2 linked regions of the Drosophila melanogaster genome follow. Changing the gene in region 1 together with any one later gene gives a genetic interaction. Each region holds a gene or a part of one and is shown on either strand. Other genes may lie near its edges.

What was found. A genetic interaction does not mean that the proteins touch.
Region 2: of Rab3 (region 1) and Galphaq, changing one suppresses a phenotype caused by changing the other (phenotypic suppression), as found in Drosophila melanogaster (one study listed by BioGRID).

What each region holds. Positions count from the first base shown.
Region 1 is NT_033778.4:10,726,199-10,730,790, forward strand, and holds the start of Rab3 (Rab3), read right to left. Parts: upstream 3,006-4,592; 5' UTR 2,407-3,005; intron 1,075-2,406; exon of another isoform or gene 862-1,074; coding exon of another isoform or gene 1-861. Other genes in the region: CAH13 (carbonic anhydrase 13), read left to right, coding at 1-861; Daao1 (D-amino acid oxidase 1), read right to left, coding at 3,441-3,990, 4,060-4,205, 4,287-4,410, 4,476-4,592. UniProt on the Drosophila melanogaster protein: Involved in exocytosis by regulating a late step in synaptic vesicle fusion. Could play a role in neurotransmitter release by regulating membrane flow in the nerve terminal.
Region 2 is NT_033778.4:12,610,934-12,618,781, reverse strand, and holds the start of Galphaq (G protein alpha subunit q), read right to left. Parts: upstream 6,043-7,848; 5' UTR 5,936-6,042; coding exon of another isoform or gene 5,931-5,935; exon of another isoform or gene 5,903-5,930; coding exon of another isoform or gene 5,898-5,902; intron 5,216-5,897; coding exon of another isoform or gene 5,125-5,215; exon of another isoform or gene 4,437-5,124; intron 2,996-4,436; exon of another isoform or gene 2,953-2,995; intron 2,876-2,952; 5' UTR 2,486-2,875; coding exon 2,368-2,485; intron 2,243-2,367; coding exon 2,058-2,242; intron 1,996-2,057; coding exon 1,841-1,995; intron 1,711-1,840; coding exon 1,582-1,710; intron 1,327-1,581; coding exon 1,198-1,326; intron 988-1,197; coding exon 858-987; intron 796-857; coding exon 642-795; intron 579-641; coding exon of another isoform or gene 471-578; intron 340-470; coding exon 232-339; intron 2-231; coding exon 1-1. Other genes in the region: CG45086 (uncharacterized protein), read right to left, coding at 5,125-5,215, 5,931-5,935; Amph (amphiphysin), read right to left, coding at 7,693-7,773.

The DNA.
Region 1 (4,592 bases):
CCCCTGGTGCAGAATTTGCGATTGGTTCAGAAGCCTGGAAAGCGTGTCCAGATTTCTCCATTTCCCATATCCTACTTGATGTATCAATTTCGATCTGGATTCTATTCCTACGGCGGTTCGCTGACCCATCCGCCCTGTTACCAGGGCACCGAATGGTTCATCTTTCCCGAATCCCTAGCCATTAGCGACTTTCAGCTGCGTCACTTTCGTTTGCTCCTAGGTCCGGATGGGATCTCGCCCATAGCCCGTAACAGCCGACCAGTCCAGCACATGGGCAATCGAGTTGTAAGCCTAAACTGCTTCTGCCCATACGATGCCGCCCAGTTGTCCAGAATGCATGTGGAGCTATGCCAGGCTCAAGCTCAGGAGGAGCACGAAGAGGAACGTATCGAGCAGGAGCAGCAATTGGAACTAGAGCGCGAACTGGAGCGGCAAAGGGAAAGCGACTTGAAAGCTCAGCAGGAGCAAGCAAGCGAGGCGGCCATCGCTGCTTCCGAGGATGAAGGTCAGCTAATTGAGACCATAGATACCACGACCATAATAACTAGTAGCAGCAACACTAGCATATGCATGACTACGCTGATGCGGAAGGATTCGCCTAGGCAACTGGAACAGCCATCTCAGATGCCTATGATGGCTCCCAATCAGGGTAACTTTTGCAATCCTGGCATTGTGATATTCAGCGGTGTCAATGAATCCAAGTCCAAGTGCGGCATCCATCAGGATACACCGGAGGAGCTAATGATCCATAACAGAGGAACGGGAAGAAACATGGGTGTACAGAATGGCTGCAAGGCCGATGCCTTTTGCGGCGTGGGCGATGGCGTCAACATCGGAATTCGCATGGAGCTGGTCGAGTAGCTAATGTGCTATTATCAACCTTTATGTCATCCATAGACACTCCATTTGTGGTCCATGCTGCACGAAGAACCGGTGGGGCTAGATGGTGCACATGAAACACCGGTCAAGGCCAACTGGTGGCCAACCGGAGTTCTCTCTGTGCCCGGAAGTGATTGAATCGCGTGCGTGTGGATTAAACAAGTTGCGTTTATATTTTCTAAAGCATAACCCCCCAATTCCCTTGACTTTTAATCCTTGGAGTAGGCGGGAGGGGTTGGCTTTAGCGGCCTGACTTGGGAAAGGACCCACTTGATTATCCCTGTCACGTCACTGGGAAAACTCAAAGCGAATTTCAGAGCTGAACGGCGGGTTGGTGGGCTGGTGGGCTGGTGCGGCCTTGAAAACTTTCAGCCTTGGCTTGGGCAAGTGACAACAGTCTCGGCTTACAGTTTGCCATTCGGGATGGTTGGCTGCCTGTTTTCCATATGCAATGAAGGCGGCGACATTGTGTCGATAATTTGTGTATATAGCCTGGTTCTCCTGGTTCCGTTTCCGCTCATCCTTATTTCCCCCGTCCAGAATCAGAAGTTGCGCAGCGGCAAAACGCTGTCAGATTGCTGATGAACGACTTGGTGTAGAAGGACCGAGTGCGCGCGTCATCGTCAAGGATTTTGCTGGCAAAAGGACAGGCTTCGCTCCTGTCAAGCCTCTTCAGGCCCAGAAATATCCTGGAGGGGCCCGAACCCAAACCCAAACCCAAACCCAAACGCAGACACCAAAGAGGGGCCGCAATAAGAGGTCTTCAACGGCAGACGGCCCTTATCACAGGCGCTGTGTGGAAATGTTTTTATCTGCTCGACTGCGTGTAATTATCGATTTTTCTGTTGTTTTCCCCCTGCGTGGGGGTGGCTGCCAGACCCTGCCCCCATTACCCACCCCCTTAACTGCTCTTTCATGTTTCAAATTTCCAATGATTTGGCAGCTGTTCAGCGGTCGGCAGCTGCGGGCTTGTTTAATTATTGATAAGAAACCCAATATTGGCCAAAACGAGAACTCAATCCTGCCTTAACGGTTCCAATTGGAAAAGTTTCAATTTAAGGTTTGTTGTCAAACGTAAATATTAGGCATGTGCATAAATACCGAGTTATCAATCAATGGGAATAAACAATTAACTCTTTCCTGGAAGTTGTAAAACTACATATGTATTATTTGGCCACATTCATATGTATGTATAGCCCATATCTATTGTCAATAAGATATGATACACTAAGCTGAAATCCATCAGAAGTTTTTTTGGAACTACTATAAAAGTAACATTGAGTTATTAAATACCTTTTAAATACTTTTAAAAAGTTGATGTGTAATCTTTATAATGTCAAAATCAATGAAGTTTAATGTAAAAATAATAAATTCCAACCAACGGCCTCATTATTTGACAATATGGAACTGATACTGCAAAGTTTTTGATGCGAAAACTCAGGTATTTTGGTTTTAGCTGGAACTAGTACCCCCATTCACCCATTTTGGTCCATCATGGCGGATACTTAATGTGTCAGATAAACTTACTCTTTCTTGAGGTTATTGCGGTTACAGTAGTATCTGCTGCTAATATCTCAGTTGCTGTTTATGATGGTGCTGCTGCAGATCCTGCTGTCACAAGAATATCCTGCTGTTTTCGATGTGTGGGTGAGAGGTACGCCGTGTTGTTGCTCGCACATACACACAAATCGATAATGGCAGCTCCTTTCGCTGAAGGGATAAGGAAAAGGACTCGACTCAGCCTTGGCACTGGACTGACATACGCCGCGATTTCACGTCGATTGATTCGTCGAGTTGTTTACGGTTACCCAATCAACTATTCACACGCCCGCGGACCCACTCGTCTGGCCAGAATTGAACTGACTCCGGCTGCAGTGGCTCAATTATTCAGCAAATGCAACGCACCAACTGTTCTACCTTTTTGCCTCGACACGTCGACACCAAAGGACACACAATTTTCAATTTTTTCTTCGCTCTCAGGCGGCGAATTGACTGGTGCGGCGAAAACGGGCCAGTTTTGTATACGTTTTCATAATTCAACTGTTTCAACCTGGCTGACTGGCTGGCTAACTGACTGACTGGATGACTGGCTGCTGCCCACACAATTTCCCTGCTGCTTTTCCTGCTGCTGAAAATCGATGGGTTTCCGTGCCTGGGGTGTCTGTGTGTGGGCGTAGCTTTCGCGGCGATTTCGGGCGAGCTTTCCATTCATGCGCCGGTCATGCGCACTTCGCACTTCCGCAGCCTTGTGGAGCACTGGCCCAGGGGTTCATTTGAATTTATTCGTGGGCGCGAATTTATTCGTTCACTTTGTGAACCCATGTTCTTATCCTGAAACAATATAGACCAAGGAACTCATAAAAACAGTAAATAAAATTTATAAGAATTGTTTCTTTAAATATTCTAAATATTCCTTCTTGAAACCTTTGGAACTGGCGCATATCGCAACCTTGAGAACTGCAATTAGTTTATTGCACAATAAAAAATCCAAATCAAATCTGGGTTCAAAGATTCTGAGTATAAAGAGTTTAATGACCAACAATTAACAACGATTTTACCACCTACAGTTTACTGTTTCCCGCTAGTAGATCGCGTACCAATCGAACTGCGTACATAGCCGTTCCAGGAGCCGTGGTCACACCGTAGCCGCCGTGGCCGTAGTTGTGGACTACCTTCAGCCGCCTGCCTTCCGGATTCGTGATCAGTTCTGGCTCCACCCGAACGACGGAGCGGTGTGGCCGCAGACCAACACATTCCCGCACGATCTCCGCTTTCCGGAGACTGGGCAGCAAATCGTAGCAACGCTCTCGAATGGCCATGCTATCGTATTTGCACCACTCGGTGTTGTAGCTGTCGAATTGGCGACATCCTCCCAGGGTCACAGTCTCAAATCCGGGAAGAACGTAGGTGTCGTAATCGCCGTAGAAAGCCGTCTTTACCCAGGGAGCACGCACTTTGAGCACTTGACCCCGAATGGGAACCAAGTGCTGGTCCCCACACAACTCCTTGGCTCCCATTCCGGTGCAGTTAAGGAGCAAGTCAATGTTCTGCGGCACTTCGAAAAAGCTGTTCACATGCTGACGGACAACCTCTCCTCCGTTCTCCAGGAATCTACAATATGTTAATATTTACGATTATTTTCAAATTGTTTCTCTTTCATATCATAAAACAGCTACTCACTTTTTAGTGGCATAGGGCAAGAAGAGGCGGCTTTCCGTTAGGCATGTGGTGAAGAAGGATCCGTACTTCCAGCCGCCGTTGCATAGCCTCAGTTCCTCCTCGGTGGCTCTTCGGTAGACGGGCAATAGTTTCTCAATAAAGTGGTTCTAAGGCAGCCAACAACAAAGTTAATCGAATTAAGCCGATGAAGATAAGAATCACTGATTGTCGACTGCCCGGCAACGTACCCGTACGATGGAGGGGGAGGTGCGGGAGTAAATATAGCCGGATAATTGGCACACGCCCGCCAGAGGAGCCTCCTTGGAGCGACGCAGCTCATCCCAGTAGTTGAAGGCATCGGTCATCCATTGTCTACGATGAAAAGAAAAGTCGTTAGATGCACAACAGGTGTGTTTGAATCCCAAACAGATTCTCACTGCGTAATTTTCTGGGTGGGGCCCATAAAGCTGGTTCCAGGTCGGAAAATTCCAGCCGCCACATAGCTGACGGTGTCCTCGTTAAACCGATCCGCAATCACGGAAACCCTTGCTGTG
Region 2 (7,848 bases), 1.9 Mb from region 1:
TCTGTTTACCAAGAGATCGTTGTTTTATTAGAAATCAATTCGTTTAGGTTTGCAAATTTGACTAGCGATACACAACTACTCTCTACTCTAGATCAGCGGCAAAAGCAAATATGCAAATGTAAATGTTTTTCACACAAAAGTTTACCTTTTGACCAGTCCTTTTTAGGCTGAAAACTAAAATCACATCCACACACAATTTCTGACCAAACACAGAACTGGCAGCAAACTTACCTGTAGCACACGTGAAATGAGAATAGATAATTTTTTCGGAATCTGGATTTAAATCTACAAACATTCGCAGTATAAACTCTCGGGCCGTTATTGCATCTCGCTGAGGACCTGTTTCGATAAGAAGGCGAATATGAAGTTACGTCTAGCGTGGTTCTACGAAAACTAGCAAATAATCTACGGATGATATTGGCGATTTAAGGCAATTACATAGATCTTAAGTACATAAGGTGAAAATCCACCTGTGGCCGTTGTGAAATGCGAATAGCATTGACGTTCGGGATCTGGATTGCAGGCCAAGTACTTTTTCAGAACGAACTGTTTGGCCGCAGCGTGATCCTGTTTTGGACCTGGTTCATTGCCGCATAAAATCGTACATAATTATGGCCACCTTTATCATGCGGAACACTTACCATCGTATTCAGGAAAATAGTCTACCAAATGCGAATACATTATTTTCTCTTCCAACAAGTCCTTCTTATTCAGGAAAAGAATAACTGACGAATTTTGAAACCAAGGGTATGTAATTATAGTACGAAATAAAGCTTTAGATTCCTCCATTCGATTCTGTGAAAGCGTACAGGTGATTATTTGTTTAAAAAAAATATATTCATAACTTGAAATCATACCTCATTATCAGATTCAAACAAGATTTGATCGTACTCCGATAGCGCTACCAAAAATATAATTGATGTCACATTCTCAAAGCAATGAATCCACTTTCTTCTCTCGGATCGCTGACCACCGACGTCTACCATTCTGTTTATTAAGAAAAATATATTATTGTAAGAAAAGTTAACCAACAAATTAACTACATATAAGGCCAAACATACAAGCATTTAATTCTAGAGCGCAAGCAACGAATCTATTAGTAACTAAATTGTAAGAAATCGTCTTCACTAGCTTTACAATGACCATTTACATTACTAGCCTTGCCGGTAATTACCAATTGATATTTTTAATAGATACCTAAACACAATGCCATCCAAATCGAATGGATACTCAAGAATGCCAGTTGTCGGCACTCGAGCACGCAGAATATCCTGCTCGGTTGGCAAGTAATCAGCCTGTTCAATTCGAGCTAGATCGCTCAAGTAGCTAAATTAGATAAATTAATACACTTTTAAAACAATGAACGGAACCAAAAGCAGTGGCAAAAATAGTTTTGCAACCCGTCTCAGTCCATCAATTTCGCTGAAGGCCCTAACTAAGTCCCTGAATTGTTTGCTTGAAGAGACATGCGCTAAAGAAATTCTTAAGTGTGTAGTTACAAAGTACAAAATAAATTTTAACCATAACCAAACAAGAGGTCATGCACATGCAACGAAGTAAGGGTAGAAAGATGGTATGTACCTAAATCTGATTTCTTCTAAATCAAAGGGATACTCAATTATCCCTGTTGTGGGCACACGAACTCTTAAAATGTCTTGCTCAGTGGGTAAATATGCAGGTTGAGCCACACGATCGAGATCCTTCAGATAACTATACATAGACAAGATAATTGATTTAGTTTGCATAGTCGTTTCGGTAGTTTCAGTCTCTTCAGTTCGTTTTTCGGTCATTTTGCGGACGGATTTAAACCGTTCCCTTTGCATGCCAACGGTTAACTTACTATTTGGCTGAATCAGTCAGCTGATATTCCCTACGACGATCATAGCACTCCTGGATGCCAGCATCGTCCCAAAGCGTTTTGATGGCATTCAAGTATGGATCCTCGAACGTGGTAACGGTCTCATAATCGATGCTCATCACCAGATCGGCCAGTTCCTGTGGATCGTAAGATGTTGTTTAAGATTCAGTGACTTCAATTAGATCAATGTTTCACTTACACTATGCTCTCCCTGGCCGTAGGAAATCTTCAGCATATCCATGGCCTTGATCATTGACTGCATGGCCATGAATATGTTCTGAAAAACCAGCTTGATGTACCCACGCTTGTCCTCGTCCGAGTAACCGCTGCCGTGGATAATACGCATCTGTTTGATGAATGTGGACTTCCCGGACTCGCCAGTGCCTGGGGATATAGGATTGGAAAATATATATAGCCATAAGCGGCGGGCAAACAATGCAATTAGCGAGGCGGCTTCAATTGCATTAAGCCAGGCTAAGTGCAATCGAAATGGGCCATGCTCCACTTACCCAGTAGTAGCAGTTTAAGCTCGCGGCGCGCATCTCTCTTGTCCCGGCGCAACTGCTTCTCGATTTCCTGATTGATGCGCTTTTGTTCCTTGGCCTCCTCCGATAAACAGCACTCCATGCTAACTAGATTTATAGACGCTTTCGCGTGCTGCTGCCACTACGCTCGACAGACCGTTCCGTATATAAAATGTATGCTGTTTGGATGGTGGGATGGTCTCCTGGACTCCCTTCTCTGGACCCTCGGACACCTAGCTAATTGGTTGTATGGCGGGCGTTGAATTCACCCGTTCCAAGTTATAGATTCTGTTGTAGTTTCGATTGGTGCATTTGTACTTCGGCTTTGCTCGCTCTGCAGACCTCCTCCAGCGCTTACGATCCAGGCTCTCTTTGGCTATTGCTATTGCTAATTACGGGTCTACGCTAAGTTCTTGACCAGATTTCGGTGACTCGGAGGCTGAGAGTGATGGTTACTAATGAACAAAGACCACATCGAACGATCCAAGAACATCTGCAAGGAGACAAAGCTTTGATTTAGTGCTTGCATAACCGAACTGTAGGATCTATCCAACTATTGCTGCTACGGACCACCACAGTTGTTGGCCCAACGAGAGTTCGCCGCGTTGTGTCCCGTGCTGACAATTAACATTTCATATTTGCTAGCCTGCCCCACTAGCTGGCGACGTCGATGACGACGTCGGATATAGATTGCCCATGGCTACCCATGACTACCCCGGGACTTCCTCTGACCATGGCATTGGCTTTGGTTCTAAGTTCTGGGCCTGCTCTCTCTGCGCAGACCTGGGATCGCCCTCTACCAGGTGGCAATAGATTGAGGAAGCGTTCCCCACAATGCCCCTCAGCCAAGTTCAATGCAAGAAAGCTGATTTTGGAAAATATATGGCTTCGCTGGCCACAAGTTAGCGAGAGTGTTCTCCTATTGGGTGGACCAAGCAGTCTATGGATAAGAAGAATTGGCATATCATTCTAATTCGGAAATAAAAAAGTCACATACCGAAACTTATGATGCAAAAACACAGCTCTATACACAAAACTGGAATATCATTGCATAAACTTTAAAACTCTTAATGTACTTTTATCGTTAAAAGATATGAGTCCACCCGAATCCGCGGTTCATTCATGGGTTCAGCATAGGGCATGCCTATAGAATATAGCCTATAACCACTGGTGCTATTTCCTCTCTTTTCCAACCCCTAGTTTATATATCGAGTGATGGCTAATCCAATTTCGTTTGGCGAACACATTGACATGGGTCGAGGTAAGGCTTTCAGCATGACCACTACCAAATATCGATGGAATACCTAGCAATAATTTTGACAAAAGTCTGACCAGGAGAATTTGGCGGGCTCAGGTGGGCGAATATGGAGATCTGGATAATGATGGCTAGACGCATAGTATTCGGGAGGATTAGTGGGCTGCACTCGGAACACATTGCTCGCTGAGCAAAGCCACAAAATCGAATTAGCAGTGGCAGCAAAATTCAGGGGCAGGGGCACGCAATTGGCGCAATGAAGCGTTTTTTAACAATAGTTTGCCAGATATATCATGCCACCAAATCAGAGGGAGATTTACCTACCGCGAACTGGTCTTATCTGCCTTACATATTGTATATGCTGATGATAAACCACTCTGAGATAACGTTTGATTTGACTTCTTAATCTTTAGACGACTACTGCTCTTCTGAAAATCACTGTTCTAATGCAACCCATTTCCGAAAAACCATTTCTAAGCCGGAAATAGCTTCACGTTACTCATGCAGTTCCTTATCGCATCCTCAGCCTATTTTTGCTGGAGAATTTATGAGCTCATATTTTAGATACAAAAGTACCCTTTCATTATGATGAAAGCATGGCTTTTACACAAAATAAATATATTCGAATGGATTTGAATAAGATGGATGACAATCCATTAAACTCGCCTGGAGAATAATTCGATTTTTGGATTATAATATATTTCGGCCAGTTTTTAGTGGCAACCAACAAGTGGTCGGAGTCAAAAATTAACCACGAAATTACGATTCTTGTATTCAATGAGCATTCAGTATTACTTACTTAACATTACGGAGACACGGGACTAAAGGTATTCAGACGAGATTCTCCAAAAAGATGTTCCGGTTATCGTCTCGATTTGTTTTAGCTACCACTATGTTATACAAAAAATATTGAATTTCGGGTTTTAGTACGCCGATTGAAGTTCTTCCGGATTGATCGTGTTCTTTTAATTTTTGTTTTTGGTTCCCTGCCGATGTTCGGTCTGTTTTAAATATTTTTAGTTTAATCACGCGATTTGCTTTGCGGTGCGTTGGTTGGTCTTACGTTTTTTAGTTAGCTTAAACTAATTTCAAAAGCATTTCGTTTTTAGTTGGTTTGCGGTTTGGAAAACATTTGTTTTTAAGGAACGTGTGTAGTTGGTTATATATTTTTTACTGGTGCTTTTTAATATAAAAGTTACGATAACGTCTGTTCGGCTTCCTTTTAATGTAAATGTGTGATACGATACTATTTATATATGTAGATATATATCTATATATAATTTTCCCTTTTTGCTTCTAGTTTTCGGTGTGTATGAGTGCTGTTGTTGTTGTTGTTCTTGGTTTTTAACGTTTCTTCTTGTTGTTGTTGTTTTTAAACACCAGTCTGTAAATGCAACGAAGTTTCAACAAATATTCATTGTAGTGTAATTGAAACGGAAAAGTATGTACGACGACAACGACGACGACGAGCGGTCTTCAAATTGATTTCACACGAAACACTTAGTGGCTCCTTTTGTATTTAATTTTCTGCATATTTTATGCTTCTTGTATTTGTTTATTTTTCTGTATGCAGTGGAACTGCAAGTAAAGAAGAGAGACAGAGAGATAAGGAGAAGAACGATGGGGGGGGGGGGTGGTATTATGGGTGGTAAGGTGGGAATATGCATTCCGGAAAATCATCATCATACTGGCTAAGGTAAACACACACGACCCTCAGCTACCATTTTTTTTTTCATTTTTTGGTTAGCCCACCCGTTTTAAGCCCAAAAATATGCACAATCCACTATGTAGTTACGCGACCCCAACTAACTTCTCGCTGGCATGCACCGTTTAGTGGCAAAAGAAAACCACATTGAGTTAAACAAACTATTTCTTTTTTAAATTTCTCAACTTTTTTCCTATTCGCAGTGTTTTTCTCGGGCAAGCAGTGCGACTTGCTGCGCACTGCTTTACGAACGAATACACACAAATATAAGCGAGGGCGTTAACGAAACGAAAAAATTTTGATAGCAATGCGATTCGAAGATTTCGCGATTCGATTCGCCGTTTGTTTAACAATTATGGGGGGGCCTTGCTTAATGGCCAGCACTGTTTGGCGAAAAAATACACTTTACACTGGCATTTCGGGGAACGTTTTCGGTGCTGCTAAATTTTTTTTTTGTCGAGGGGGGGACTTTTTCGGGTGGCTGCCAGGCGGCTGCGGATGGCGACCGCTGGCTGGCGGGGAGTCCGTTTGACGGGGATCTTGCTCGAAACTCACAACATATTCGATTTGGCATCGCTCGCTACTCACAACATATTTAATTTTGCATTTTTCGCTAACGTTGACGCACGACCCGACTTTCGATAGCAGGAGGCGTTATTTGTCCGAACCTATCGGCCCTATCGTTCGTCGATATCGATGGTCAAACCAATCGGACGGCATTTGAACTAGTGGTGGCAAGATATCGATGATGGAATAGATGCTCTTAAATCAAAGTCTTCATTGTATTACATAAGGAAGGAGTTTTATTTGCCGCATAATAACTAATAGAAGTGGTTTATAACAAATAAAAACGGATTTCCTGGCAGTTCAGCTTAATTTGAAAATATATTACTTTTGGTATTTTTTAGTTGCCACCCCCACCACAACACATGTCGGTGTTGCCATACGGATTTCTATTCATGTGTGTCAATACACATTCTTAGCAATAAGGTTGGCAACGCCTTACATCCTTCAAATAAGGATGGCAACGCCAGACATCCTTAAAAATAAGGATGGCAGTGCGCCATATTCTCATAATTCAGGATGGCAATGCCTGATAGCTTTAGGAAAGACTGAAAATGTTGTGTCCTTTTCACTCTCTAACAACAGGGAATACACTTACCATGCACTTCCATATTCGTTAAGCTGTGACCCGAACCAATGACTATGATCGTAAATTTTAAATAACTAAATATATGTGTGTATAATTACCATTTAGAACATAAAAAATGCGAATATCGTAAAACGCCGGTCAATCGTCAAATTTACAAGCACTTTCTATCTTCGAAATCAGAAGACATTGCCCGCCAAATCAAAAGACTTGTATTATTTAATCTATGTTTTATTGGCTTTCTGTAAATTATTATCATTTGTTCAATATGTTCATGCGATAAATAAGTGTTTAAATTAATTAAATAAAATTAAAATAATAACTTTACAGTGTGTGCACAATTTAAACAATTATTTCGGGTTTCGTGTGATTTACAATCGAGTTAAATAAAATAAAAACATCGAATCGATCGGTTAGTGACTATTGGATTGTGTTCGCGTTATAAAGCTGTAGCTAGTTCGAGTCTCTCAAACGAAAAATTAAAAACCAAAGTACAAATTAAAGATACACGTAATCGCTAAACGTTAATGTTGTTACTTGAAACAATTTCCAAAACTTCGGGGACCACAGAGGAATTACATCTGGCCTTTTTGCATCGCCCCAAAAATACATTCAATTGACTATAAAAAACTCGTACTACATATTTGCAAAATTCACAAAATACAAAAGGTTCAGGCTGGCTATCTCCTCCGACTTTTGATTTGTTTAACAATTACTCTAGCTCTCGAGTGATATGTTTTACATTTGTGGTTTGCCATTAACAAATTACAAATTAGATACGTTTTGTTCGCATTAATTATGAGCACAATAATAGGATTAACAAATAATATATGTATACGTAGGTTTATGCTTTAGGTTTTCTTGAAACTTAGAACTAAAAAATAATGTTTGAAACATTTTCAAAATATTCTCTCTCTCATTCCTCATCTGTGTGTTCGTTCTTCTTTGTGTTAACAATAACAATTTTATGGTTGGAAGCACTGCCCTAACGAACAATCGCTATAAATGGATTGCCAGTTACCGAATACATTTCACAAAACAAGAATTTATTAATTGGACAAAAGCAAAAGCAGCGCTCACAAAGAAAATTTGGCCAAAAGTTTGTATTTGGATTTGGACCTCCGTTCGTAAAGATTTTTATGGTTGATCTGAAGTTGCTGATGGTTCGTTGCTAGCCCAGTTGTTCCCCAGTTTGTCGCTTCAGATGGGACGCGTGAAGTTGGCGGGGAAGAGTCCCTTCTCGTTGGTGCCCTCCTTCTGACCCATCAGCCAGCCTTCCTCCTGTAAATTGGCAATAAAGAACTGAACTCAATATAGACAGGAAGTGCTGAGATCTGCATTTGGCGCGGAGGGGGA